7 linked regions of the Oryctolagus cuniculus genome follow. The protein of the gene in region 7 binds, or shares a complex with, the protein of the main gene of each other region. Links are inferred from orthologs where the notes say so. Each region holds a gene or a part of one and is shown on either strand. Other genes may lie near its edges. The genes, in order: CCNF, FBXO10, FBXL17, TRIM21, BTRC, FBXO11 and CUL1.

Region 1 (3,500 bases), on a different chromosome or scaffold from region 7:
GGGTACGAGAGCATCGGGCCACAGGCAGAGGGCACAGCTGTTCCTAGCCTGAGTGCGGACCGGCCGGGGCCAGGGCCGGGGCCGGGGCCGGGGCCGTTAGTGGAGCAGTGAGCTGGGAACAGCAGGGGCCGGGGCAGGGACTGCCTGGTGCTGAGTTGGTTCCGGCTGCGGCCATTTCCCTCGCCTTCCTCTCAGCCTCTCTGCTCCTCCTGCTGCTTAGTGCCCCTCCCTCTGGGGTCCCCCTCACCACCCTGGGGTCCGTGGCCTGGTGCTGCCTCTGCCCTGCTGCCCCAGACTGTCCCACTGAGCCTCCCTCCGGCCCGTCCCCGGTGTCTGAGCAGACGCCCGCTCGCTCGCTGGCTCCGCCTGTGGGCTGCATTTGGTGACCGCAGAATGTCTGCCTCTGTCACCCCTGGAGCCAGGCAGCTCTTGGGTCTGGTGAACTTCCTGACACACGGAAGTTCACACTCCCACAGAGGGATCAGGGCCTTGGGCGTGGGTGGCCGCCTGGCCACCTGTGGGCACCTCCCTTGCCCTTGTGCTGACCGGAGCCTTGTCTCCGGCTTCCAGGATGGCAGCACCCTGCAGCCAGCCCCCTCTTTGGTCCATCCGGTCGGGGGACCCACTGCCTTGGGCTTTTCCCGCTCTTTTCTCCTGAACTGCCAGGCTCCTCTGTAGCGGGCAGATGAGGAAGGGGGTGAGGATCAAGGGGCAGCGTGTCTGTCCCCCCCACCCCGCTCACCCCCGGAACAAGTGGACACCAAAAGCGTTGCATGGCAGCGTTCAAAGAGAAACTGGAAGGTTTTATTCAGGAACCGTACTTTTAAAAAGTGTCTAATAGTAAGCTTTTAAGATACAGAGTCCTGTAACCACCACCAGTGAATTTTAGTACATTTTCTCTCACACACACACACACACACACACACACACACATACACATACATACACACATGCACCCCCACCCCAACCCCCCAGAAAGAAACCCCAGGCTTGGTTCACTCCGGCTTCCTTGGCCCTTGGTAATCAATCTTCCTGCCGCTGGATCTGCCTATGCCGGCGTTCCATACCAAGGAGTCCCCGTCCGTGGCCTGTGTCTGACTGCTTTCTCTTGCCATCATGCGTTGCTTCATCCGTGTTGTGGCATGTGACTGGATAACATCCCGGTGTGTGGCCACATTGCCTTCGGTGACCCACCCATCCATCCACTGCACTCGAGAGTGGGAGAGACCACTGGGCACGTGGAGGCCGTCTGCCCGTTGTTGGGGGGACGCTGGGCACGTGGGAGCCATTTGCCCGTTGCTGGGGGGACGCTGGGCACGTGGGAGCCGTCTGCCCGTTGTTGGGGGGACCGCCAGACTATTCCCCAGCATGTCCTGTTATGGCTGGGATGGCTCTGAAAGTGTTGTCCCCTCCACGTCAGTGAGTTGAGGCTAAAGACAGGGTGGGGGCCAGCGCCGCAGCTCAATAGGCTAATCCTCCGCCTTGCGGCGCTGGCACACTGGGTTCTAGTCCCAGTCGGGGCGCCGGATTCTGTCCCAGTTGCCCCTCTTCTAGGACAGCTCTCTGCTGTGGCCAGGGAGTGCAGTGGAGGATGGCCCAAGTGCTTGGGCCCTGCACCCCATGGGAGACCAGGAGAAGCACCTGGCTCCTGCCTTCGGATCAGCACGGTGCGCCAGCCGCAGCGCGCCAGCCGTGGTGGCCATTGGAGGGTGAACCAACGGCAAAGGAAGACCTTTCTCTGTCTCTCTCACTGTCCACTCTGCCTGTCAAAAAAAAAAAAAAAAAAAAAGACAGGGTGGGGAGCTCACGAGTCTGCCTCCATGCCCGTTTCCAGCTTCCACGACGACGCCCCCAAGGACTACCGGCAAGTCTCCCTGACGGCGGTGAAGCAGCGATTCGAAGACAAGCGCTACGAGGAGATCAGCCAGGAAGAGGTGCCTCCTCCTGCTCACCTGGGTGTCGGGGGGCCAGGGGGAGGAGCCTCCTCCCGCTCACCTGGGTGTCGGGGGCCAGAGGGAGGAGCCTCCTCCCGCTCACCTGGGTGTCGGGGGCCAGAGGGAGGAGCCTCCTCCTGCTCACCTGGGTGTCGGGGGGCCAGGGGGAGGAGCCTTGTCCCGCTCACCTGGGTGTCTGGGGGCCAGGGGGAGGAGCCTCCTCCCACTCACCTGGGTGTCTGGGACCAGGGGGAGGAGCCTCCTCCCGCTCACCTGGGTGTCAGGGGTCAGGGAGGAGCCTCCTCCCGCTCACCTGGGTGTCTGGGGGCCAGGGGGAGGAGCCTCCTCCCGCTCACCTGGGTGTCTGGGGCCAGGGGGAGGAGCCTCCTCCCGCTCACCTGAGTGTCGGGGGCCAGAGGGAGGAGCCTTGTCCCGCTCACCTGGGTGTCGGGGGCCTCATCGGCCTGTGGGCTCCTCTCCACTCCCTGCCTCGGGCCCCCAGGTGCTGAGCTACAGCCAGTTGTGTGCAGCCCTGGGCGTGAAGCAGGAAAGCCCGGAGCCCGCGTCCTTGGTCAGCGCGGGAGACATCCACGCCTTCCTCAGCTCTCCGTCTGGGAGGAGAACCAAACGGTGAGTGCTCCGGGCCGGGGCTGTGCTGTAGACTGGCCTGTGCCCCTCAGCCACGCTGCGGCCCCCAGAGGGGGTTTGTGGGCTCAAGCCAGGCAGCCTGGGTCGGGCCATCCTCCTGATGACCGCCCTCCCCCGGTGGCTCCCGTTCTCTGTGCTGCCTCTCGCTGGCCAGGCAAAGCTGAGCTGACCATGGCACTGCGCCACCCCCTTCCCTCGCACCACTGCCCCGCGGCCCTCAGTCCGGCCTCCGTGTCCCTGCTGTGCCTCCTGGGATAAGCCCCCCCATCCTGTCCGCCCTGAAGAACTCCCACTGATCCTGCAAAGCCCACGTGAGCAGGGCCTCTGACTCCCCGCACGCACCCGTGAGCTGCTGTGGGCAGGCCCTGGGTGGTTTGTCACCCTTGTCACACACAGGGCCGTGCAAGGCCACCTCCACAGCTGGTTTCTGGGGCACGGGCCCTGGCAGCAGACGCCCGCGTGCTGCTCCCCCTTCCTCCCTGGGAAGCATGGGAGGCCTCCCTGCACTGGGCCCCTCCCAAGCTGACTACACGCAGGCTGAGACCCCCAGCACACACGCACACATGTGCACGCACTCACACGTACTCACGCATGCACTCCGGGAGGGGGTTCCTGGGCTGCCCATGTGCGCCTGTGTCTGCCTGCTCTCCTCCTGTCCGTTCCCAGGGAGACCTGGTGCCGCCTTTGCCAAGCGTGGCTGGCCTGCAGCTCCTGTTCTCGGCACCCGACAGTGCCATCGTCCTCCCAGCTTCCAGAGGGGCCGAGTGGTTTTGTGGGGTCCTGCAGCACAGTGGGCCAGGTTCACACCCTGCCCCAGGCTCGGTTTTCTCCAAATCGCCCTTCCCCCAGCCGAGCCCCTGCCCTCGAGGCCTTCCACCCATTCTACCCACAAACCTCTCGGGAGCACATGGCCATGAG
Region 2 (3,027 bases), on a different chromosome or scaffold from region 7:
AGAGCCGACTCAGGCTCGCCCACCGGGGCGTGTGATTCAGGGCAGACTTGCCCACCCGTGTTGTCAGGGCTGACTCTGGGACCACCTTGTGCTCTCCCTGCCCGTAGCCTCAGGACTCTACGTCCAGAGCAGCGAGGCCCTGCACGTCACCGCCAACGTAATCCATGCCAATGGCGACCGGGGCATCACCGTGGCCCAGAGCAGCCAGCTCACCCGCGTGGCCAACAACAGCATCTCTTGCAACCGCCAGAGTGGGGTCAAGGTCGAGGCCCAGTGCAAGGTGGAGCTCCGGGGAAATGGCATCTATGACAACAGAGGCCACGGCGTCATCACCAAAGGCGACAGCACAGTCGTCATTGAAAACGACATCATCGGCAACCGGGGCAGCGGGCTGCAGCTGCTGCCCAGGTCCGACACCAAGGTGAGGGCGCGTGCACGGCTGCGGCATGTGCCCGACACCAAGGTAGGGTGTGTGCATGGCTGTGTGACACCAAGGTGAGGGCGCGTGCACGGCTGCGTGACGTGTGCCCGACACCAAGGTGAGGGCATGTGCACGGCTGTGTGACATGTGCCCGACACCAAGGTGAGGGCGTGTGCATGGCTGTGTGACGTGTGCCCGACACCAGGGTGAGGGTGTGTGCATGGCTGTGTGACACCAAGGTGAGGGCGCGTGCACGGCTGTGTGACGTGTGCCCGACACCAAGGTGAGGGCATGTGCACGGCTGTGTGACGAGTGCCCAACACCAAGGTGAGGGCATGTGCACGGCTGTGTGACGAGTGCCCAACACCAAGGTGAGGGTGTGTGCATGGCTGTGTGACATGTGCCCGACACCAAGGTAGGGTGTGTGCACAGCTGCGGCGTGTGCCCGACACCAAGGTGAGGGTGCGTGCACGGCTGTGTGACATGTGCCCGACACCAAGGTAGGGTGTGTGCACAGCTGCGGCGTGTGCCCGACACCAAGGTGAGGGTGCGTGCACGGCTGTGTGACATGTGCCCGACACCAAGGTAGGGTGTGTGCACAGCTGCGGCGTGTGCCCGACACCAAGGTGAGGGCGCGTGCACGGCTGCGGCGTGTGCCCCTCTGCCCAGCGCAGAAGCACGAGCTCCCAGCTCTGCAGGGGATGCCGTCCCTCCTGCCAAGACGTGCCCCTGGATATGCCAGTGGGGCCGCACATAGGAAGGGACGCGCAAGCTGGGCCCTGAAGGCTGAGTGAGAGTTCACCCACAGGAGGCCGGGGGTGCTAGAAGCCTCCTGAGGCGTCTTCCTGGTCCCGGGTCAGGGTCAGAACTATTTCAGCTCCCTTCCCCAGGAGAATGATCTGTGCACGATCCGGCATGCAGCGGGTGCTTCATAGACATCCTGCCTCAGGGCCTTTGCACATGCTCTTCCACGTGCGCTGGAAACCCCCTGCCCCAATTTTCCGAGTCCTCCAGCTGTCTGAGGCGCCTCTTAGGACGTCGGGGTAGCTGCCCCTCGCAGAGCCCCTCTTCCCGCAGTGCCGTACACCCATTCCTTCGCCTGTCTGCCTGCGCCTCACACCGTGAGCGCCGAGCTCCGTGTGCAGACCTCTGCGCTGGGGCCATTGCACGGCTTCCCCGACGGACCCGGTCCCTGCCCTGGTGGAATCGGGCCCCAGAGGCTCTGGTCAGCTCTGCAGCTGCACAAGCAGTGACAGGCGAGGAGCAGAGAACTCCTCGACTTGGCTTCCGAGTGCTGTGGAAACAGGGAGCGAGGGCCACACCGCGGCCTCAGTTGGGTCTCAGCAGCCCTGGCTTCCGGCACCAGCTTCCTCTCTACCAGCCCTTGCACGTGGCTTCTTCCTGGAATAACTCGCCCTTGCTCTGCACCTGGTAACTCTGACAGCTAACACATCACCTCCTCCAGGAAGCTTTCCCTGGTTCCTCCAGGCTGGTCTTCTTGCTCTTCCTTGAGTTCCTTTGGCTCTCGGCTGACCTACCTAGCTTATTATTTTTTAAGATTTATTTATTTATTTGAAAGTCAGAGCCGGTGCTGTGGCACAGAGGGTTAAGCAGCCTCCTGCAGTGCCGGCATCCCATACGGACACCAGTGTCCTGATGGCTCCACTTCCAGTCCAGCTCCCTGCTAATGCACCCGGGAAAGCAGCAGAAGACAACAGATGTCCTTGGGCCCCATACTCCCGTGGGAGACCCGGAAATAACTCTTTCTCTTTTGTCTTTGTCTTTTTTTTTTTTTAAAACATTTATTTATTTGAAAGCATTAGAGAGAAAGGAGAGAGACAAAGAGATCTTCCACCTGCTGTTTCACTCCCTAGCCACAATGGCTAGGGCTGTGCTAGGCTGAAGCCAAGAGCTTCTTCCAATCTCCCATGTGGGTGCAGGAGCCCAAGTACTTGGGCCATCTTCTACTGCTTTCCCAGGCTACAGCAGGGAGCTGGATAGGAAGCAGCGCCTATATGGGATGTCGGCATTGCAGGTGGCAGCTTTGTCTGCTACGCCACAGCCCTGGCCCCCACCTAGAATGTTTTACCACCTCGGTTTTATAGTTTACCATGTAAGTGACTCACTTGCCTGAGTCCCTGAGGTCTGACAAGCTGTGGCTGCCTCTCCCAGGTAATAAAGAACCGGATCCACTCATTCCGGGCCTACGGCATCGCAGTGCGGGGCCGCGCCAAGGCCCTGGTGCAGGATAACATCATCTTCCAGGGCAAGACCAGCAAGACCATCTTCCAGCAGATCGCAAACAACCGGGACTGTGTCATGCAGAACAACAAGTTCCTGGTCTTCAGGAAGAAGTAAGTGCCCAGCGCTGCCCGAACCATGAGGTCGCTGGGGAGCCAGACGCAGGCCTAGTGACCCGGCTGCCCTTGCCCCGGCGGCCTGGCCAGAGAACTTGTACCTGACTCCCTGGGAGGGAACAGACCTGAGCATCAGGGTATTTGGTTTCATGTCTCATCTCTGCCAGGTACTGGCTGTGTGACTTTGGGCAAGTTACTGAGACACCTCTGAGCCTTAGTGAAATCTAGTTGTTACTATCTCCCCTTTTG
Region 3 (3,500 bases), on a different chromosome or scaffold from region 7:
CCTCAAAATGGTGTTTACACGGGTTTTTCTTGAAAACAATTATTAATGTTATCTTGGCTGGGGTTTCTTTGTTGCAACTTATAGCTGTCATTCATTTTAATGTATTCCTTCTGTAGGTATGAATGTTTGAAAGTGCAGGTAACCTTGTAGTGAGTAAAACTGATAAAAGGTTATATCCAATGAAAGAGAAATTATGGAATGATTATTCACTTTGCAAAAGGGTTTGTCATAGGGCAAGCTCTCCTAAAGCATTTCAAATTTAATTTGGTTTCTAAAACATTCATTTACACACAACATTTCAGGAACAAATTTAGTGAGGAAATGAGAGAAATCGTCATAATTAGATGGAGGTCCCCGATGCCGCCAGCATTAATGCTTCTGCCTCTCTGTCCCTCCCTGCAGCACTGATTGCTATTGGGCGCTACAGCATGACCATAGAGACTGTGGATGTTGGATGGTGTAAAGAAATCACAGACCAAGGAGCCACCTTGATTGCACAGAGCAGCAAATCCCTGCGGTATTTGGGGCTGATGCGATGTGATAAAGTAAGAGTCGCCCATCCAGTTCTGGTTTTTTACCTGTCAGTACAGTAAATAGCTTGATGTCATATTCCTTTTCCTTTCCTTTTCTCTCCCTTATCCATATCTATACCTACACACACACACACACACACACACACACAGGTATGTATGTATATGTGTATGTGTATGTATGTATATGCAATTTTGATCTAATTTTCTAACCTGTGCATTTCTGACTTAATAATGAGTTTTGTGCTTCAGCAGAAAGAAAATGCAATCATACACACAGTCAACTTGGATGTTGACATGCTACTCCTAAGTCCATGGACCAAAATTAAAAGGTTGCATGGCAAACTGCAATTTGCAGGGTCTAACAGTAAAATTCAATTGTGAGTTTCCAGTTTCCTACAACAATAGAGTGGAAAAAAAATACCCAACTGGTTTTTCACAAGTGTGTAATTTCAGGGTCCCACATCTATGAGCTGTGGCCTTGTGTGGGCAAGAAGGGACCAGGGAGGAGGTGTGTGGGAAGTGGCGTGACCCCACACTTCAGATGGCACTCCTAGCACAGGATGAGACATGGTCCCAGAGGCCGGGGAGAAGGCCTGTGCAGCTGGCCAGGGACAGTGTCTACTGGGGGCCTGTGATGACTGGGAAGATAATAGCAGTTATATAGATGCCCAGGCCCTGGCCCTCGAGGGGTGTCTTCCCCTTTGTGACTTCCATGTCGTCCCATACAAACCTTAGAAATGGTTATGTGCACTGTGGAGGGGAGAAGAAAGACCAGGCACTGGCCCCAGGCTGCTCAGCCAGGACTTCACCCCAGGCTCTCAAAGACTGGGTCCCATGCTCCTTGATGAATCTGCAAGCAGTGTCCGGCCATGGAGCCTGCTTCCTTGGTAACGGACCACTTCCGGTGCTTCCTTGATCAGCAGATCCTGGCACCGTTCCCGAGTTCACACACGTGTGCTGCCTTGGCAGTGGTGATTAGGGGTGCTTCTACAAGAGCAGGCGTTTTCTAAAATGGGGCAAATGTAGGGGCAATAGAAGAATGGCTGAAAGCCCTTATGTGCTTTGTCATTTTTGTTAATTGGCTGAATTCTTTGCTCAGAATGCTTTAAAATCCCAATTTATACTGGACCTTTTTCAATTAGTTATGTTTAGAGAGATTTTAGCATGTATTCTTAGCCCAGCCTAGAAAGCGACTTACTCTGTAACTAAGCAACAGCACTGGGACCCAGGGGTTGCAAGTCTCGCTCAGCTCTCTACCAACCCGGCTGCTTTCAAATGACTTCTCTGAGAACAAGTTGAAGGGTCCACAACGGGCAGGGTGCTAGAAACACGGGACAGGGACAGCAGAGCTCCTCAGCTCCTGGAAGGAATTGCTACGCGAGTGCTGCCTGACCACAGACACAAGGCTGTGTGCATGCACATGTCTTTGTGCGTCTACCAGCATTCTCAGAGATCACCAGATTTCTACTCCGTACCCTTGTAGATCTGTTGAGAGCAGCTCCACCCCCCAGAGGTGAACTGTAGAAGTTGTATGTTCCTGTTGACACAGCAGAGTGTCCCAGACAGGTTTGCAGACCAACATCTCACTGATTGGAAGTTTAGGCATGGGTGCATTTCTGCGCAAGTGCAGGTAAGTCCAGAATGAGACAGGGAGAGGCTGTTCTGCTTAGCAGTATCCCTGGAGGTCTTATCCTTTCTGCGGGTGGCCTCTGAGTCCTGTCTCCAGCTAGACAGCTGCTTCGGCAGCCCATTGGCTCTAGCGTGAGGTCATCTGGCCAAGAGCTACCCCAGGGGATGCTGGACCCGGCCTTAAGGAGATGCATCTCCTTAAGACTTAAGGCATCTCGGAGCCAAACAGGAGAGGTTCCATGAGAACAAAGACGTTTCCAAGCCACACACAGGGTGCACAGAAAACACAGTGAGGCCCGTCATTGGTTCAGTTGGATGGAAACCTAAAGTAGCTATTCAGCTTTCAAAGGTTGTATTTTGCCATTCATCTCCAGATTTTCAGATATCAGTGAGATTCAAAGAGAAATGTGAGTAGTGAAGGAAAGAGGTTGGTAGACAAGGAAGACATGGTCCCTGGAGCCACAGTGCAGGCGCACATCTGGGCTCTGTAGTCAGGTTGGCCCTCACTGTCCATTTCCTCATGCCTAACGTGACACAGGTGCTACTACCTGTCTTGTAGGATGGTGAGCCATTGAATGAGTTAACTTACATAAGGCTACTTGAAAAAGTTTGTGCAAAAATGGAATTAAAAGGTAAGTTTATTTGGGGGGCCAAAAGTTTTTGAAATTCATGCATTGCTATTTCAAAATACACATTTTCCATGGTATTTTTTGAAGACCCATCTTACAGCTGACATTTTTAAGAGTGCTGAAGGAATTACAGAATACTTAGATAAACAAGAGACATATGATGCTGTCGGGTTGGAAAACTCAATATGGTTAACATGCCAGTGTTCCCCATGCAAACCAAGTGTGGGAGGACCTGGAGCTGGACATAATATCTAATATCTGTCGCTCCCCCTGGCCACTTTCCCCACTTCCGCGGGGGAGCGGCACACCACTGGCCGGCTCTCTCTGGGGCTGCACAGGTGTTCCTTCAGATGTTCCTCTTAGATGTTCCTGGTGCATGTTGTCTCTCTCCTCCTTTATAGTCCTCTTCCACCAATCCCAACTCTGCTACCCACACGCCGAGTACGCTGCTCTCCTCCAATCAGGAGTAGGTCCTACAGTTTATTGGTTGAACTGGAGGCAGCTGTGTAGAAGCTGTTTCTCCCTTCTCAGCGCCATATTGTGGGAGAGCAGATGCATAGAAATAAGTCTTAATTCCAGTAACTTAGTCTAGTCCGAGTTGCTCCCAGTTGCTCCCCACAATATCTGTTGTGTACACGAGGGTGCCTCAATTACTTTATTAAAACCAATTTAAAAATAAGTGTATTTAGTGCAAAACAATGTTGAAATC
Region 4 (3,956 bases), on a different chromosome or scaffold from region 7:
ATCTATTTCCAACTTCTCTGCCAACTCCTGCTGGCATCTTAGCTTTTTTAATGCCACCTGGAGCTTTTCCTGCCAAAAACAAAGTAACAGGTTAATCCCAACGAAACCAAGAAGTAGGGTGGAGTGGCTTGGGGTGGGAGATGATCATTCTGGTTCTTCAATAAAGCCTAAACACAGAGAAGGAGGGAGGACTGGGGTCTGATTAGGGTAGGCATTTGGTGGATAGGCAGACTGTGGAAAAAGCCCAAATCATGCGTCTTACAAAAAAGAACTACTGGCCGGCGCCGCGGCTCACTAGGCTAATCCTCCGCCTAGCGGCGCCGGCACACCGGGTTCTAGTCCCGGTCGGGGCGCCGGATTCTGTCCTGGTTGCCCCTCTTCCAGGCCAGCTCTCTGCTGTGGCCAGGGAGTGCAGTGGAGGATGGCCCAGGTGCTTGGGCCCTGTACCCCATAGGAGACCAGGAAAAGCACCTGGCTCCTGGCTCCTGCCATCGGATCAGCGCGGTGCGCCGGCCGCAGCGCGCCGGCCGTGGCGGCCATTGGAGGGTGAAACAACGGCAAAGGAAGACCTTTCTCTCTGTCTCTCTCTCTCACTGTCCACTCTGCCTGTCAAAAAATAAAAAAAAAAAAAGAACTACTGGCATGGCAGGATGAGGGCATTTCTCACACCTAATTTATCAGGAGTCCACAAGGAAACATGGACTTCATAGCATTTGCACAGAGTGTATCCACTACTCTAATGAGAAGGTTGTGTTTAGACTGGACATGAAAGGAGGAAAGTATCCCTCTTTTCCCAACCTCTGAACTCCAGAGGTAACAAAACTCACCCAGCCCCTCTCCTTTGGATCTGTCCATGTCTCTGCGAAGGCCTCACCTGGTACTCTTGAGCAGCCGCGTCAATAGGGACTGTGTGGTGCTCACGGTGTTTCTGGTATTGGGCACACACCCAGCAGAGGATTTGCCCATCTTCCTCACAGAACAGGTGAAGTTTCTCTCCATGTATCATACACCGCTGCCCTTGTGGCTCATCCTTGGCAGCCTGGCTGTTTTGTTTAAGGTTGTCCACCACGTTGGCTAGATGCCGATTGGGCCGGAGGTTCCTGAGCAGAAAGTGATTCCGGCACACAGGACAGATACCACCCCCATCTTTCCCAACATTAGAGATACATTCCTGGCAGAAGCTGTGACCGCATTCAATGATCACGGGCTCCACCATGGGATCTAGGCAGATGGCACATGTGACCTCCTCCCACATCATTGCCAGGGGCGTTGCAGAAGCCATGGGAGTGACAGTCCTTGTTGGGCAGCACTGTGCAGACCTTGGGGTGCTCTGGTGGGGGAAGAAGGAACAGAAAAGAAGAGATCTGCATGACAGGAACACAATAATGCAAAGGAAAACAAGATGAGCTGGTGGTGCCAAGCAAGAGAAGACAAGAACATCAACCCAAACAGCAGGAGCCTCTCCTCCACAGTCTGGCCCAGTGATCCTGTTGGAAGAAGGGAGACAGAGTCCTCCAACGAGGAGAAAACGGGGGAGAGACTCAGATAAGTCTGCTGACAATTCTACTTCATCATGTCCATCTGGGTTACATCCTCAGAGCCTAGGTTGGAGGAGGTAATCATAGTATGAGCAGTCATTTACCAGGTGCTTTCTATGTGTCAGAGAGGAGCTATGTGCTTTGTATAATATCTTCACTACTGTTCAATATAATGGCAAGAGTCTCTCTCTGTTCTACTCCCATATATATGAAATACATAAAAATTCATGGGGGGGGTGGCACTGTAGCATAGTGGGTAAAGCCGCTGCCTGCAATCCATATAGGTGCTAGTTCCACTTCCGATCCAGCTCTCTGCTATGGCCTGGGAAAGCAGATGGCCCAAGTCATTGGGCCCCTGCACCCATATGGGAGACCTGGAAGAAACAGTAGGCTCCTGGCTTCTGATAAGCTCAGCTCCACCACTGCAGCCTTTGGGGAGTGAACCAACAGATGGAAGAGCATGCGGTCTTTCTCTCTGCCTCTGCAACTGTGCCTTTCAAATAAAATAAAATCTTAAAAAATTCATAAGGGGTCTTCAAAAAGTTCACAGAAAATGTATACTACGAATGGGTGCATGGATTTCCAATTTTTTGCACCAAAAGTAAATTCCATTTCCATTAACTTTGAAATATTCTGCTACAGATGTGAATATGTCTGTGCACTTCCTCTAGGGCAAAGAATCTTGAACCTAAATAAGTTTCTAATTGAACACCCTAAACAGCCTGCCCTTTCCCTTTCTAGCAGGAGATTGGGGACCAGTTTAGTAGAGTGAGGATTCTTCCACAGGGGGCTCCTCTGGGCACCCACCAGCTCCCTTACACCCAGGGTCACCTTTTCCCTTGGCCCAGTTCAGGTACCTGCACTACAGCAGCCTGAGCTCCACCCATCCCTGTGGTTTGTAAGTCACACTCAGCCCAGCCTCCTCTCAGGCAGACCGGCCAGTGCTGGAAGAATGGCTGGGCTTGGGTTGAACGAGTCGGGGCCAGTGGGGTTGAAGGCTCTAGGGTTAGTGAGTAGCTGGAAGAGAGAATCAGAGGCAGGGGAGAGAGACCCTCCCCCACCCAGGCAAGAAGGGGTACTGTGGTCCTGCCGGGTTCACTCACCTGATCAGGCGATTCAACAGCTCTCTATTTCACTTTCAATTTCCTCTAAGAGGCCAGTCTGAACGGAAAAGGGAGGAGAGTGGGAGGAGAAAGGGGAGGGGCCCCAGGGAGGAGGATGAGGGAGGGGTGGTGGGAGGGACAGGGCAGAGACTGGGCGGGGTCAGGGCGGAGGCAGGGGATGACCGGGTGTAGGGGAGAAGGAGCAGGGCAGAGAAAGAAAAGTGGGAGGAGGGAAGACAGAGCCAAGCCGGGGGAGTTGTCACAGCCCAGTTAAACCTCAGCAACATGTCATCTGGGCGTACACTCCTCCTCCTGTCCTTGTCATCTATCTTAGTGAAAAAAATCGATGCTTTGACACCGGCCATCACCTCGTACCTGAATGCTATGTGCACCTCTGGGAGCTGCTATTCAGGAGGTTTGGATGCAAAGGATGCCTGGCTCTCTCCTTCACAGGCCTCCACCACCTGCTTCCTGACAGCCGAAACAGTTGCTTCCCATCGGACTCATGTTTCTGGTGACCTCCAGGGGTGGGAGATTTATTCCTCAGGACTCTGAGGCGGATATCACATGGGGCAGTGGTAGGAAGGGAGCTGACATTTTATTGAGCACCAGCTGGGTTCTTGTCATTGAGCTAAGGATATTTTCAGGTTATATCATTTTTATTTTTGATATTTAAGATAAAACAAATTTCATGTAACTCATCTACAGATTTAGGAACCTAGTGATACTTCTCATCCTTCTCTCCCTCCTTCCTCTTATTCCCTCAATTTTTAGGATGATCTTTCAGTTTACTGTATAACTCATGAGATTAACTCTTTAGTGTAGGGTTAAATAGAAAAAAAACCACTATTCTACAGTATGTTATTTTAATATGAGACATTTACCACCTTAACCATTTTCAGTTTGCCATTGAATGTCAATGAGTGCATTCACCTTGTTGTGGCACCATCACCACCATCTGCTCCAGAACATTTTCATCATCCCAGGCTGAAATTCTGTACCCAGACAATAACTTACTATTTCCTTTCTCTCAGGCCCTGGCAATCACCATCTGCTTTCTGTCTCTATGAATTTGACTACTCTAGGTGCCTCATATAAGTGGAATCAGCTTTAGAATATGTACCTTCACAGCTGGCTTATTTCATTAATATAACGTCCTCAAGGTTCATCCATGTTGTATCACATGTCAGGATTTCCTTCCTTTTTAAGACTGAACATCCCATTGTATGTACATTTTATTTATCCATTTGTCTGATGTTGGATACTTGGGTTCCTCCTACCTTTTGACTATTGAGAATAATGTTGCTATGTTAGG
Region 5 (4,069 bases), on a different chromosome or scaffold from region 7:
TATTAATTTCAGAGAGCAGACTTCAGAATAAGGACTCTTATCAGGGGTGAAGATGGGTTCTCAGATCACAGTGACCACAATGGAATGAAACTAGAAATCAATAACAGGAAAATAGAAATAGTTGCAAAATGCCAGAGCATCCATGGAGATTAAACAGCATCCTTCTGAGTTACATATGGGTCAGAGAACTTTGAAAAGTATTTTGAAGGGCTAGTGCTGTGGCACAGCAGGTTAACGCCCTGGCCTGATGCACTGGCATCCCATATGGGCACCGGTTCAAGACCTGGCAGCTCTACTTCCAATCCAGTTCTCTGCTATAGCCTGGGAAAGCAGTAGAAGATGGCCCAAGTCCTCGGGCCCCTGCGCCCATGTGGGAGACCCGGAAGAAGCTCCTGGCTCCTGGCTTCAGATCGGCGCAGCTCGGGTATTGCAGCCAATTGGGGAGTGAACCAGCAAATGGAAGACCTCTCTCTCTCTGCCTCTCCTCTCTGTAACTCTGATTTTCAAATAAATAAATAGATCTTTAAAAATATTTTGAACCAAATGAAAATGAAAATATGGCTTATTTAAAAATTGTGGGATGTAGGGAAATTTATAGCATTGAATGCATGTATTAGAGAAGAAAGCTGTGAAATCAATAAAGTTTCTACTTGAGTAAACTAGAAGATCAAATTAAATCCAAAGTAAGCAGAAGAAAAGAAATGAAAAAAATTAGAGCAGAAATCTATGAAATAGGCAAGAAAATCAGTAAGACCAGAGCTGGGAGAGTGGCCATTTAGCCAAGCAGTTAAGATACTCAAATCCTACATCGTAGTGCCTGGATTGGACTCTTGTAATTGGGTTCCTACCATCCACAGGAAAGACCTGTATTAGGTTCCCTGATTCCAACCTTGCCCCCAGGCCCAGCCCTGGCCGTTGCAAGCATTTGTGCAGAGAACCAGCAGATGGAAACTTTGTCTCTCTGTCTCTGTGAGTGTGTGTGTGTGTGTGTGTGTTTGTGTGCGCACGTGCCTGTCAAATAAATAAATTAACCAAAAAGCTGGTTTTCTTTAAAAATATCAATAAAATTGATAAGCCTTTAGCCAGGATAAGGAAAAGAGAGATTAAACAAAATTACAGTATCAGCAGTGAAAGGGCATCGCCACAGATTTCATGAACATTTAAAGGATAATAGAGGAGGCCGGCGCCGTGGCTCACTTGACTAATCCTCCGTTTGTGGCGCTGGCACACCGGGTTCTAGTCCCGGTTGGGGCGCCGGATTCTGTCCCAGTTGTTCCTCTTCCAGTCCAGTTCTCTGCTGTGGCCCGGGAGTGCAGTGGAGGATGGCCCAAGTGCTTGGGCCCTGCACCCACATGGCAGACCAGGAGGAAGCACCTGGCTCCTGGCTTCAGATCAGCGCAGTGCACCGGCCACAGTGGCCATTGAGGGGTGAACCAATGGAAAAGGAAGACCTTTCTCTCTGTTTCTCTCTCTCTCTCACTGTCTAACTCTGCCTGTCCAAAAAATTAAAAAAAAAAAAAAAAAGGATAATAGAGGAAATACTGTGCACAGCTCTTGATGCCCGCAGTTTAATCGCCTATGTGAAACAGAATAATTCCTTGAAAGTTACAGTGCCACAGTTCACACATAAAGCGGTAGATAATCTGAACAGGCCTGTATTTATTAAAGAAACTGAATCAGTAGGTAGCAGCCTTCTAAAACATTTTGAGACCAGGCCCCATTTAAGACAGAAATTTCACCCATTTTCTAATTTCTTCTTTAGGATAAAAGGAGAAAGAATGTTTCCTAACCTGGCCGGCGCCGCGGCTCACTAGGCTGATCCTCCGCCTAGCGGCGCCGGCACACCAGGTTCTAGTCCCGGTCGGGGCGCCGGATTCTGTCCCAGTTGCCCCTCTTCCAGGCCAGCTCTCTGCTGTGGCCAGGGAGTGCAGTGGAGGATGGCCCAAGTACTTGGGCCCTGCACCCACATGGGAGGCCAGGATAAGTACCTGGCTCCTGCCATCGGATCAGTGCGGTGCGCCGGCTGCAGCGGCCATTGGAGGGTGAACCAACGGCAAAGGAAGACCTTTCTCTGTCTCTCTCTCTCTCTGTCCACTCTGCCTGTCAAAAAATAATAAAAAAAATTAAAAAAAAATGTTTCCTAACCCACACTGTGGAGCCAGCATTACCCTAATTCCCACACCAGGCAAAGGTACCACAAGAACAACTTGGTACAGACCAGTATTTCTCACGAACATAGGTGCTCATGTTTGAGCGCCTTTAGATCTTGAATGTAAAACGGGGTAAGCACTGTGGTGCAGTGGGTTAAGTTGTTGCTTGGGATTGAGTCCCATCTCTACTTCCCATCCAACTTCCTGTGAATGCACCTGGAAGACTGCAGAAGAGAGCCCAGGAACTTGGAGTTCCTGGCTGCTGGCTTTGGCCTTTGCAGATAGCAGTTACCTCTTTCTCTGTCTCTCCTTCTCTCTCACTCACTCTCTCTCTATCAAACTGCCTCTCAAATAAATAAATAAATAAAACTTTTTAAAATTATTTTTAAAGACTTATCTGAAATACAAAATAAAAATGTATAAAGAGAATGGTACACTATGATCAGATAACATTTATCTAGGTACAATATGCAAAGCTGCTTTTAACATTAAAAAAATCTAATAATGTAATCTACCACATTGACAGGCTAAAGAAGAAAAATCACATGAGCACATGAGTAGATGCAGTAAAAGTGTTGCAACACCCATTCATGATAAAACTCTGAGCAAGGGAGTAGCCTTGGGATGCAGCAGCTTAAGCTGCCACTTGCAACACTAGCATCCCGTATTAGAGCGCCAGTTCAAGTCTCAGCTGCTCCACTTAACATTCCAGCTCCCTGCTAATGCACTTGGGAAAGCAGCAGGTGATGATGCAAGTACTTGGGCTCCTGCCTCCCTTGTAGGAGATGCAGATGGAGTTACGGGCCTCTGGCTTCAGTCAGACCCAACCCTAGCCGTTGAGACCTTTTGGGAGTGAATCAGCAGATGGAAGATACCTATTTTTTATTTTTTTTTAAGATTTATTTATTTGAAAGGCAGAGTTACAGAGAGACAGAGAGAGAGAGGGGTCTTCCATCTGCTGGTTCACTCCCCAGATGACTGAAACAGCCAGAGCTGCACCAATCAGGAGCCAGGAGCTTCCTCCAGACCTCCCACACTGGTGCAGGGTCCCACAGACTTGGGCCATCTTCTGCTGCTTTCCCAGGCCACAGCAGAGAGCTGGATCAGAAGTGGAGCAGCCGGGACTCAAACCAGTGCCCATGGGGTGCCGGCACCGCAGGCAGCAGCTTTACCCGCTACACCACAGCGCCAGCCTCAGGTATCTCTTTCTGTCTCTGCCTCTTCCTCTGTCACTGTACCTTTCAAATTAAGAGGAAGAAACAACAGAAAACCAGGAATAGAAGGGATCTAATAAAATACCGCTAAAACTTGCCATATAAATGCTTTTTATTGACAGTGTTAGTTGTTGGTAAGAATGTGGAGCAACTGGAACTCTTATACTGCTGGTGTGAGTGTAAATAAACTGGCACAGCTTTTCAAAAACTTTCATAATGGCATCTATCAAAGTAAACATGTACCTACTCCATGGCCAGCAGTTGTACTCCTAGGAGAAATGAGTACATGTATCCCTCAAAAAACATGTGCAAAAATGTTCGTAGCAGCTTTACTTACGATAGCCATAAACTGTAATCAGAACGTGTATGTCCACCAGCAAGAGAATAATAGATCAATTGTAGTACTCTGTATGGTGGAATATCATCCAGTAATACAAAGAAAGTAGACTACAGTTTTGTAGATATAATAATAGGGTGGAATCTTGTAGATACAGTGTCCGATGAAAGAAGCCTTCAAGAGAGAATATAGTCTGTGCATGTCTATTTATATGGAATTCAAGAACAGTCCAAACAAATTAATGGTAGGTTTGGAGTGAAGCTAGTGTCAGCTGGTAGGGGCCAGAGATATTTCAGGATGCAGGAAATGCTCTGCTTCTTGGTTGGGGTGCTGGTTTCTGTCAGTGTTGTGCTGGAACACTCCTGTCA
Region 6 (3,500 bases), on a different chromosome or scaffold from region 7:
TTTTTTCTCTTTTTCTGAGCTGCTTTTTCTGGAGCTACTGTTTGTTAGTCATGATTTTGTTTCCACAAGAAACCACTTAGAATTGTAATTATTAGAAGTATTTTTAATATGGATTTGAGTTTATTGCTAATCACATTAAATTAATTGTTAAATATGGCTGCTTACAATAAAAGCTGGTGAAACATATATAACCAATAGTCTGAATATTAGCCCTACAACTCAGTACTTAAGTTTTTAAAAAGTTTCCCTTCCATAAAAGTATTTATTTGTTGAAATGGAGTTAAGATAATATGCTTTAAAATATCTTCTCTACAGCACCAGGAAAAGTAGCAGACAAAGTTATAATTGAAAACACTAGAGATTCAACCTTCGTTTTTATGGAAGGTTCTGAAGATGCTTATGTTGGATATATGACAATAAGGGTAAGAAATTTTAATATTTAAAATATACATGTTGAAATCATCAAGGCAGTGGTTATTGCAAATAAAATTTCTATTTTTCAGTTTAACCCTGATGACAAATCTGCTCAGCACCACAATGCACACCACTGCTTAGAGATTACAGTAAATTGTAGCCCTATTATTGATCACTGTATCATCCGAAGTACATGTACAGGTTAGTGTTTCCTTTATCTTTCATAATAAAATTGAGTCACTGTGTTGTTGTCCAATAGGGTTTTTAATAGATTTTTTTCCTTACAGTTGGTTCTGCAGTATGTGTTAGTGGTCAAGGAGCATGTCCCACTATCAAGCACTGTAACATCAGCGACTGTGAAAATGTTGGGCTTTATATAACAGATCATGCACAGGTATTTTAAAATTTTGTTTCTCTCTTTTAAAATACTATTTTTAAAGCTGTACTAATGTTTATTTCTTGGTTATTGTTGTAGGGAATATATGAGGATAATGAAATTTCCAATAATGCGTTAGCTGGGATTTGGGTTAAAAATCATGGAAACCCAATCATTAGACGAAATCATATTCATCATGGACGTGATGTTGGTGTGTTCACATTTGATCATGGCATGGTAAGAACATTAAGCACATTTATTCTTAATAGAAAAGTTGACTTCTGTATCAGTTCAAGTTTAGCTGTGTTTCATCATTATTTTCTCATCACCATAGTATCTGAATTAAAGAATATAGGTTTAAAAGAAATTTAGGTATTTTAGAATGGATATGCAGTATTCATTTTATGAATTCATGCATCAAACATATCTATGTAGATGCAATGAAATCCTTAGAGAATTGATGTGCTATTTGAGAAGAAGATGTAATCTCTGTTAGTTATAAAATGTAAGTGTAACTATAATACTAGAACTTGTTCTCTAAAAATTACTTCATTTTAGTGTATTAAGTGGAGGATATTCTTAAGTCGCATAAGTTATGTCTTTTTTTTTTTTTTTTTTTTTGACAGGCAGAGTGGACAGTCAGAAAGACAGAGAGAAAGGTCTTCCTTTTGCCATTGGTTCACCCTCCAATGGCCGCCGCGGCCGGCTTGCTGCGGCCGGCACGCCGCGCTGATCCGAAGCCAGGAGCCAGGTGCTTCTCCTGGTCTCCCATGGGGTGCAGGGCCCAAGTACTTGGGCCATCCTCCACTGCACTCCCGGGCCACAGCAGAGAGCTGGCCTGGAAGAGGGGCAACCGGGACAGAATCCGGCGCCCCGACCGAGACTAGAACCCGGTGTGCCGGCGCCGCAAGGTGGAGGATTAGCCTAGTGAGCCGTGGCGCCGTACCTCATAAGTTATGTCTTAAGTGCTCACAAAAGATGTGTCATTCTTGGGTTCTTCTTTAAAGATTATTAAGTTTCTGAAAAGGAAGAGAAGGAAAGAAAAAAATGAAGGAAAAAAACGAAATTAACTGCGAGATGCAATGACTTTGAACTGCTCTTGTCTGGACTATTGAGGAACAGGGATTTTTTTTTTTTTTCCTTCTCTTTTTCTTTCTCTTTCTCAAACAAAGTGTTGAACTCTTTTCTTTTCTTTTCTTTTCTTTTTTTTTTAAGATTTATTTATTTGGAAAGCAGAGTTACAGTGAGGTAGAAAGAGAGATCTTCCTTCTGCTGGGTCACTCTCCAAATGGCCACAACTACCAAAGCTGGGCCAATCCAAAGCCAGGAACCTGGAGCTTCTTCTAGGTCTCCCACATGGATACAGGGGCCCAAGCTTTCCCAGGCCATAAGCAGAGAGCTGGATTGGAAGAGAAGCAGCCAAGACTTGAACCGGTGCCCATATGGGATGCCAGCACTGCAGTCCACAACTTTACCCACTATGCCGTAGTGCCACCCCAGTGTTGAACTCTTTACCTAGAATAGTCAGTCATTTGTGTATAAAGTTAATTGAAAATAGATCTTATTAAAAAAATAAAACTTGGAATAGGAAGGGAAGAGGAAGATGGGTGGGAAGGCAGGTTACTATGTTCCTGAAGTTGTATTTATGAAATGCAGACAAATAAATAAAAGTAAGTATACATAAAAATTAAAGTAAAACAGGATTTGGTCTTTACACTTCAGACATCTTTGATTTTTCTTTTCTCATTACTTTCAATATTTTTTAAAGACTTACTTATTTGAAAGAATTACACAGAGAGAGGAGAGGCAGAGAGAGAGAGAGAGAGAGGTCTTCCGTGATGGTTCACTCCCCAATTGGCCTCAACAGCTGGAGCTGCGCTGATCTGAAGCCAGGAGCCTCCTCCAGGTCTCCCATGCGGGTACATGGGCCCAAACACTTGGGCCATCTTCTACTGCTTTCCCAGGCCGTAGCAGAGAGCTGGATTGGAAGTGGAGCAGCCGGGTCTCAAACCGGTGCCCATATGGGATGCCAGTGCTTCAAGGCTAGGGTGTTAACCCACTGCGCCACATTTCCTCTTAAATTTTTTTAAATGGCAGAACTTTAATAGGAAACACAGTGATAATAAAATGTCAGTTCCAAAACTGTTCTGCAGAAGTTTTGTTAGGCATCATTTTCGAAGTCCAAGCACAGCACTACTAACAGTTTTTTTTTTTTTTTTTTCCAACATTTATATATTTATTTATTTGAAAGAGAGAGAGAGCTTCCATCTGCTGTTTGAGTCCCCGAGCACTTGGACCATTTTCTGCCACTTTCCCAGGTACATTAGCATGGAGCTGGATTGGAAGTGAGCAGCCGGGACATAAACCCGTGCCCATATGGGATGCTGGTGTTGTAGGCAGCAGCTTTACCCACTAGGCCACAGTACTGGCCCCCAGTAGCAACAGTTTTTTGTTGTGCGGATGGAAGAGATGGGAAAGGAGGTAATAACATGGTGGCAAATAGGTGGATGGTGAGGTTTAGTTGCTGTTCTGTTAACCAAGCAACCTAGGAACATCGAAGTCATGTATACAAGCTGTCAATGGGAAAGAAAATTATTTTCATTGCTTGTGCCTGGAACCCTAAATCAGGGCTCTTTTTAAAAATTGAATTAGAGCATGAAGGAGTACCCTTTTGTCAGTGCTAATAAGACCTAAATAGTTTGAGAAAAGA
Region 7 (3,500 bases):
CAAAGTCCATTTAACCCCAAAATACACATACACAAGGAACTATTAATATTTCAAGTATAATACTTCTGAACCAATCCATTTTTTCTTAGATTCTGAGCTATCAGTTTTTGTTGTTATTCTAAGCCCCAATTATAACTGCTATCTCCTATGAGACAACACATTCAGAACACCACAAACTGGACAGGACTTTATCGCTTATTTTCTCACATCATACAAGAGGAGGCGAGTCTGCAGTCCCTCACCAGGTGCACAGGGAATAAGATCAAAGCAGCCACCAGACCAACAAGACCCAGACTCCCTAGAAATCTAACTCATCTAGTTCAAGGATCAGCAAACTTCCACGTAGGCCAGATCCAGCCTACCACCTTTGTTTTTCTTCTTAAATACAGATGAAGTGGTACTGGAACCCAACCACACCCATTTATTCACAGGATGTTACGTCTGCTTTTGCCTGCAGCACCAAGAGAGACCACATGGCCCACAATGCCTCAAGCATTACTATCCAGTCTCTGGCAAAAAACGTTTGCTGACTCCTGACACAGGTCTTTCCTCAGAGCCCAAGTCCAGGATTCCTGTATTTCTAAGAAAGTGAATACAGAACAAATCTGTTAGAACTTGGTCATATCACTCGGTACAGAAAAGGACTGGAAACCCTGGTTTAATCTTAGGTCTTGTCCCACATGAGAAACAGGATCCTGCTGTGTCAGAGACTACTCCTCTACCTTCAACCTGAAACTGTTATAGATTCTCAGGGAGACATGTTAGAAGAAAGCAAAAACTTACTCACAAATCTGAGAATATTTGTATCTGAAAATGTTCTCACTAACATGGTAAGACCGAGACAACCCTAAGATATTTACGTTCTAGGAAAAATAGTTCAAAACAAAAGTCACACAGCTTTTATATATCTGTAAAACAGCCAGAACTTTCAGGCATGGTCAGCAAACAAATTTATAAAAAGCTCCCTGGAGAATTAGAAGAAGTATTTACACCTGCTGAAGACATGCTAGGACAACAATGCCCAACAAATGACTTGTGTGAAGAAAAGTGCATATGCTATTTTAAACAGTAACTCATCTGAATGGCACATTTTTAGCTTGTCTACTTTAAGTACTATATTTAAGCTTACCTTTTTCATATATTCGGTAACTGGGTTCTGTTGCAAGAATTCAGTACTCTCTCTGGTATAAAATCTTTCTGTGTCAGCCAAAAATTGAGATTCAAAGGATTCTTTATACACTGTTAACGTAGGGCCCTTTGCAAATGCATCATCTTCATTCAGCCCCAATTCCACTAGAAATAAATATGAGCTGCATTTCAATTACCCTATTTTTTGTTGTATTTCACAGAATATACTTAGATAAAAGATTAAGTTAGGCATAAAGGTAAATGTGAATGGCAGAGCATAAGGTAATTATTATTCACTAATAATAAAGTGCATCGCTCAATAGAAGAAAAAAGCCAGGACACACAAAAATAATTGACTCATACCAGGTATCCTTTAGAATTATCATGAAGTACATTTGGAAAACTTCGTATTTCCAAAAGCAATAAAAACCTCTAATTTAAACTTTCAAAGAAATACCATGCTATCCAAGGTTTTAAATACTGTGTTAACTTATCAGTTCCTCAATGTTTCAAGCTGATAGATTTCTATTTATCATTCAGTTCAATAGCATTCTATCATTAGCCAGTAGCTAATTATGAGATCAGAAAACTCAAATGTCTATTTCATTAAAGTTTCTCAAAGGCATAAGGATCAAACAACTTTTAAGAGGGTAAAATCAAGTAAAATATCACCAAATAGGAATTATGAGTACCTCTGTAAATGCTAACAGTCCTGATGATATTAAATGTTTTTTAAATGAATCTGGTATGGCACTGTTGTGACTGTAATTTGACATGAAAACTCCAAATAACTGAAATTATTTACCATAAGACTGTACAACTCCACTAATCAGTCTTGTATTGATGGTTTCACCATTTCTTTCCTTTTCAATCAGTTTTAAGACAGCATTTGTTACCTTTAGAAAGGAAACATGAAATATATTAGAGATTACAGTATTTAATATTTAATATCCCATGTCCCTTAAACATTCAGAGCCATTAACAATGTGAGATAAGGGATACTCTCAAGATGTTCTAAAGGACAGAGGCAGGAAGCTGGCAAAGGATCATAAAAGAGAACACACAAAGTTCTTCAGAGTGGGTACCTGTTTATTCAATGGCCTGAACAGACAATCTCTCCAAGTCACCAATGCAAGCTGGACAGAAAAAAAGAAAAAAAAAAGTGTAAAATGCCTATACTCACTGTTTTCCCAAGACATCTGAAGTCACAGGAAATAACCTGAATACAAGATGTCATCAAAATGTCCAGATTATAACCTGGCAAAAATTTATTACCATGATGAAATCAGACTACTGCACGAGCTAGAACTTCAAAAGGTATCAGCTCACATTTTAAGTTTAAAGGAAATTTTGCATTTAGAGAGACAATTCATACTGGCTTAAAAGACAACAGTGGATTCAATCTATGAATGTGTTCCCTGGATCAAATAATTTTAATATTTGACCTAAAAGAATAAAGATAATTCCATTTATCATCATGGTTTCCTAATAGTCTGCAAAATAAATTATAGACTATAAAAATCTATCAACTTTCAAGTTCTTTTTTGTGGTGATGGTATACAGATGCACACAAATATAAATAACTTTAAATTTTACATACTTCAAATGGATGTGGTTTACTATAGATTATTCAGATTCCTACTTCTCCTCGCATGTGTTTATGCATATGTGACTTCTTTTTAATGAAAACATTCAAAGATGATATGGTTTATTTTATCCATTTCTCTAAACTCCCCACAGGAGTCATGTTAGCAAATTAACTAATAATATAAAACATTCTCTGAAACAGGAATATTAGAATTCATACATGGGTATTATTTGTTGGGAGATTATCCAGTTAAAATGAAATTCAGATTTTTTAACACAAGAATACAAAATGCTGAGAAGTTCATTTAAATATAAACACAATCAGCCTTACTTTTCCCAAATTTAACTAGAGGTGCAACTGGGTTTATATTCATATTGTATTTATGAAAAGGTTATATGCAAATTTAATCTATATAAAGAACTTCAAAGTAGCAATTCTGCTAAAAATGTAAGAAATAACATGAAAGCAATATTAAAGGAAATATTAATAACACATAATATACACTCGAGCCTAACATAACAAGGTAGAATGCGTGGGTTTTGAAGGTAAATTAAAGAAAGGTGAGCCATGACAGACATACTCTAGAAAGTACCCTCTACTTCCTCTGTACTTTCTGTAACTATTGTTAAACATAGTACAGGAGAAGTTAAAAACTAGGGATTTTTAAGAGTCTGTGGTTCAAGAGAAATCTCAGACATGGAAAGCCAAGACACTGTGGCAAAAAATGACCTCAATGAAAGATCTGAGGGAGACCTTGGTGGAAAGAAGAGGCCATCAAAGGAGG

What was found.
Region 1: CUL1 (region 7) and CCNF share a complex: the UniProt entries of both Homo sapiens proteins name them as parts of the SCF(CCNF) complex. The link is inferred for Oryctolagus cuniculus from reciprocal best matches to the Homo sapiens genes CUL1 and CCNF.
Region 2: CUL1 (region 7) and FBXO10 share a complex: the UniProt entries of both Homo sapiens proteins name them as parts of the SCF(FBXO10) complex. The link is inferred for Oryctolagus cuniculus from reciprocal best matches to the Homo sapiens genes CUL1 and FBXO10.
Region 3: the proteins of CUL1 (region 7) and FBXL17 are in contact, whole or in part, in a cryo-EM structure (PDB 8UBT), measured with the Homo sapiens proteins. The link is inferred for Oryctolagus cuniculus from reciprocal best matches to the Homo sapiens genes CUL1 and FBXL17. Residues at the interface, in NP_001357589.1 of Homo sapiens: Thr54, His143, Arg147, Asp150, Glu151; in NP_001156787.2 of Homo sapiens: Pro325, Ser327, Leu330, Asp358, Phe359, Gln360, Asn387.
Region 4: CUL1 (region 7) and TRIM21 share a complex: the UniProt entries of both Homo sapiens proteins name them as parts of the SCF(SKP2)-like complex. The link is inferred for Oryctolagus cuniculus from reciprocal best matches to the Homo sapiens genes CUL1 and TRIM21.
Region 5: CUL1 (region 7) and BTRC share a complex: the UniProt entries of both Homo sapiens proteins name them as parts of the SCF(BTRC) complex. The link is inferred for Oryctolagus cuniculus from reciprocal best matches to the Homo sapiens genes CUL1 and BTRC.
Region 6: CUL1 (region 7) and FBXO11 share a complex: the UniProt entries of both Homo sapiens proteins name them as parts of the SCF(FBXO11) complex. The link is inferred for Oryctolagus cuniculus from reciprocal best matches to the Homo sapiens genes CUL1 and FBXO11.

What each region holds. Positions count from the first base shown.
Region 1 is NC_091450.1:32,842,571-32,846,070, reverse strand, and holds part of CCNF (cyclin-F), read left to right. Parts: intron 1-782; exon of another isoform or gene 783-1,763; intron 1,764-1,834; coding exon 1,835-1,934; exon of another isoform or gene 1,935-1,995; intron 1,996-2,063; exon of another isoform or gene 2,064-2,436; coding exon 2,437-2,564; intron 2,565-3,171; exon of another isoform or gene 3,172-3,362; intron 3,363-3,500. UniProt on the Homo sapiens protein: Substrate recognition component of a SCF (SKP1-CUL1-F-box protein) E3 ubiquitin-protein ligase complex which mediates the ubiquitination and subsequent proteasomal degradation of target proteins.
Region 2 is NC_091432.1:200,314,158-200,317,184, reverse strand, and holds part of FBXO10 (F-box only protein 10), read left to right. Parts: intron 1-107; coding exon 108-421; intron 422-2,593; coding exon 2,594-2,775; intron 2,776-3,027. UniProt on the Homo sapiens protein: Substrate-recognition component of the SCF (SKP1-CUL1-F-box protein)-type E3 ubiquitin ligase complex. Mediates the ubiquitination and degradation of BCL2, an antiapoptotic protein, thereby playing a role in apoptosis by controlling the stability of BCL2.
Region 3 is NC_091445.1:30,492,115-30,495,614, reverse strand, and holds part of FBXL17 (F-box/LRR-repeat protein 17), read left to right. Parts: intron 1-402; coding exon 403-545; intron 546-3,500. UniProt on the Homo sapiens protein: Substrate-recognition component of the SCF(FBXL17) E3 ubiquitin ligase complex, a key component of a quality control pathway required to ensure functional dimerization of BTB domain-containing proteins (dimerization quality control, DQC).
Region 4 is NC_091432.1:62,639,570-62,643,525, reverse strand, and holds the start of TRIM21 (E3 ubiquitin-protein ligase TRIM21), read right to left. Parts: upstream 2,801-3,956; 5' UTR 2,642-2,800; intron 1,331-2,641; 5' UTR 1,283-1,330; coding exon 875-1,282; intron 70-874; coding exon 1-69. UniProt on the Homo sapiens protein: E3 ubiquitin-protein ligase whose activity is dependent on E2 enzymes, UBE2D1, UBE2D2, UBE2E1 and UBE2E2.
Region 5 is NC_091446.1:28,367,130-28,371,198, reverse strand, and holds the end of BTRC (F-box/WD repeat-containing protein 1A), read left to right. Parts: intron 1-3,234; coding exon 3,235-3,441; 3' UTR 3,442-3,569; downstream 3,570-4,069. UniProt on the Homo sapiens protein: Substrate recognition component of a SCF (SKP1-CUL1-F-box protein) E3 ubiquitin-protein ligase complex which mediates the ubiquitination and subsequent proteasomal degradation of target proteins. Recognizes and binds to phosphorylated target proteins.
Region 6 is NC_091433.1:155,062,257-155,065,756, forward strand, and holds part of FBXO11 (F-box only protein 11), read left to right. Parts: intron 1-315; coding exon 316-422; intron 423-503; coding exon 504-615; intron 616-701; coding exon 702-808; intron 809-889; coding exon 890-1,027; intron 1,028-3,500. UniProt on the Homo sapiens protein: Substrate recognition component of a SCF (SKP1-CUL1-F-box protein) E3 ubiquitin-protein ligase complex which mediates the ubiquitination and subsequent proteasomal degradation of target proteins, such as DTL/CDT2, BCL6, SNAI1 and PRDM1/BLIMP1.
Region 7 is NC_091434.1:174,808,388-174,811,887, forward strand, and holds part of CUL1 (cullin-1), read right to left. Parts: intron 2,265-3,500; coding exon 2,214-2,264; intron 2,025-2,213; coding exon 1,934-2,024; intron 1,294-1,933; coding exon 1,130-1,293; intron 1-1,129. UniProt on the Homo sapiens protein: Core component of multiple cullin-RING-based SCF (SKP1-CUL1-F-box protein) E3 ubiquitin-protein ligase complexes, which mediate the ubiquitination of proteins involved in cell cycle progression, signal transduction and transcription.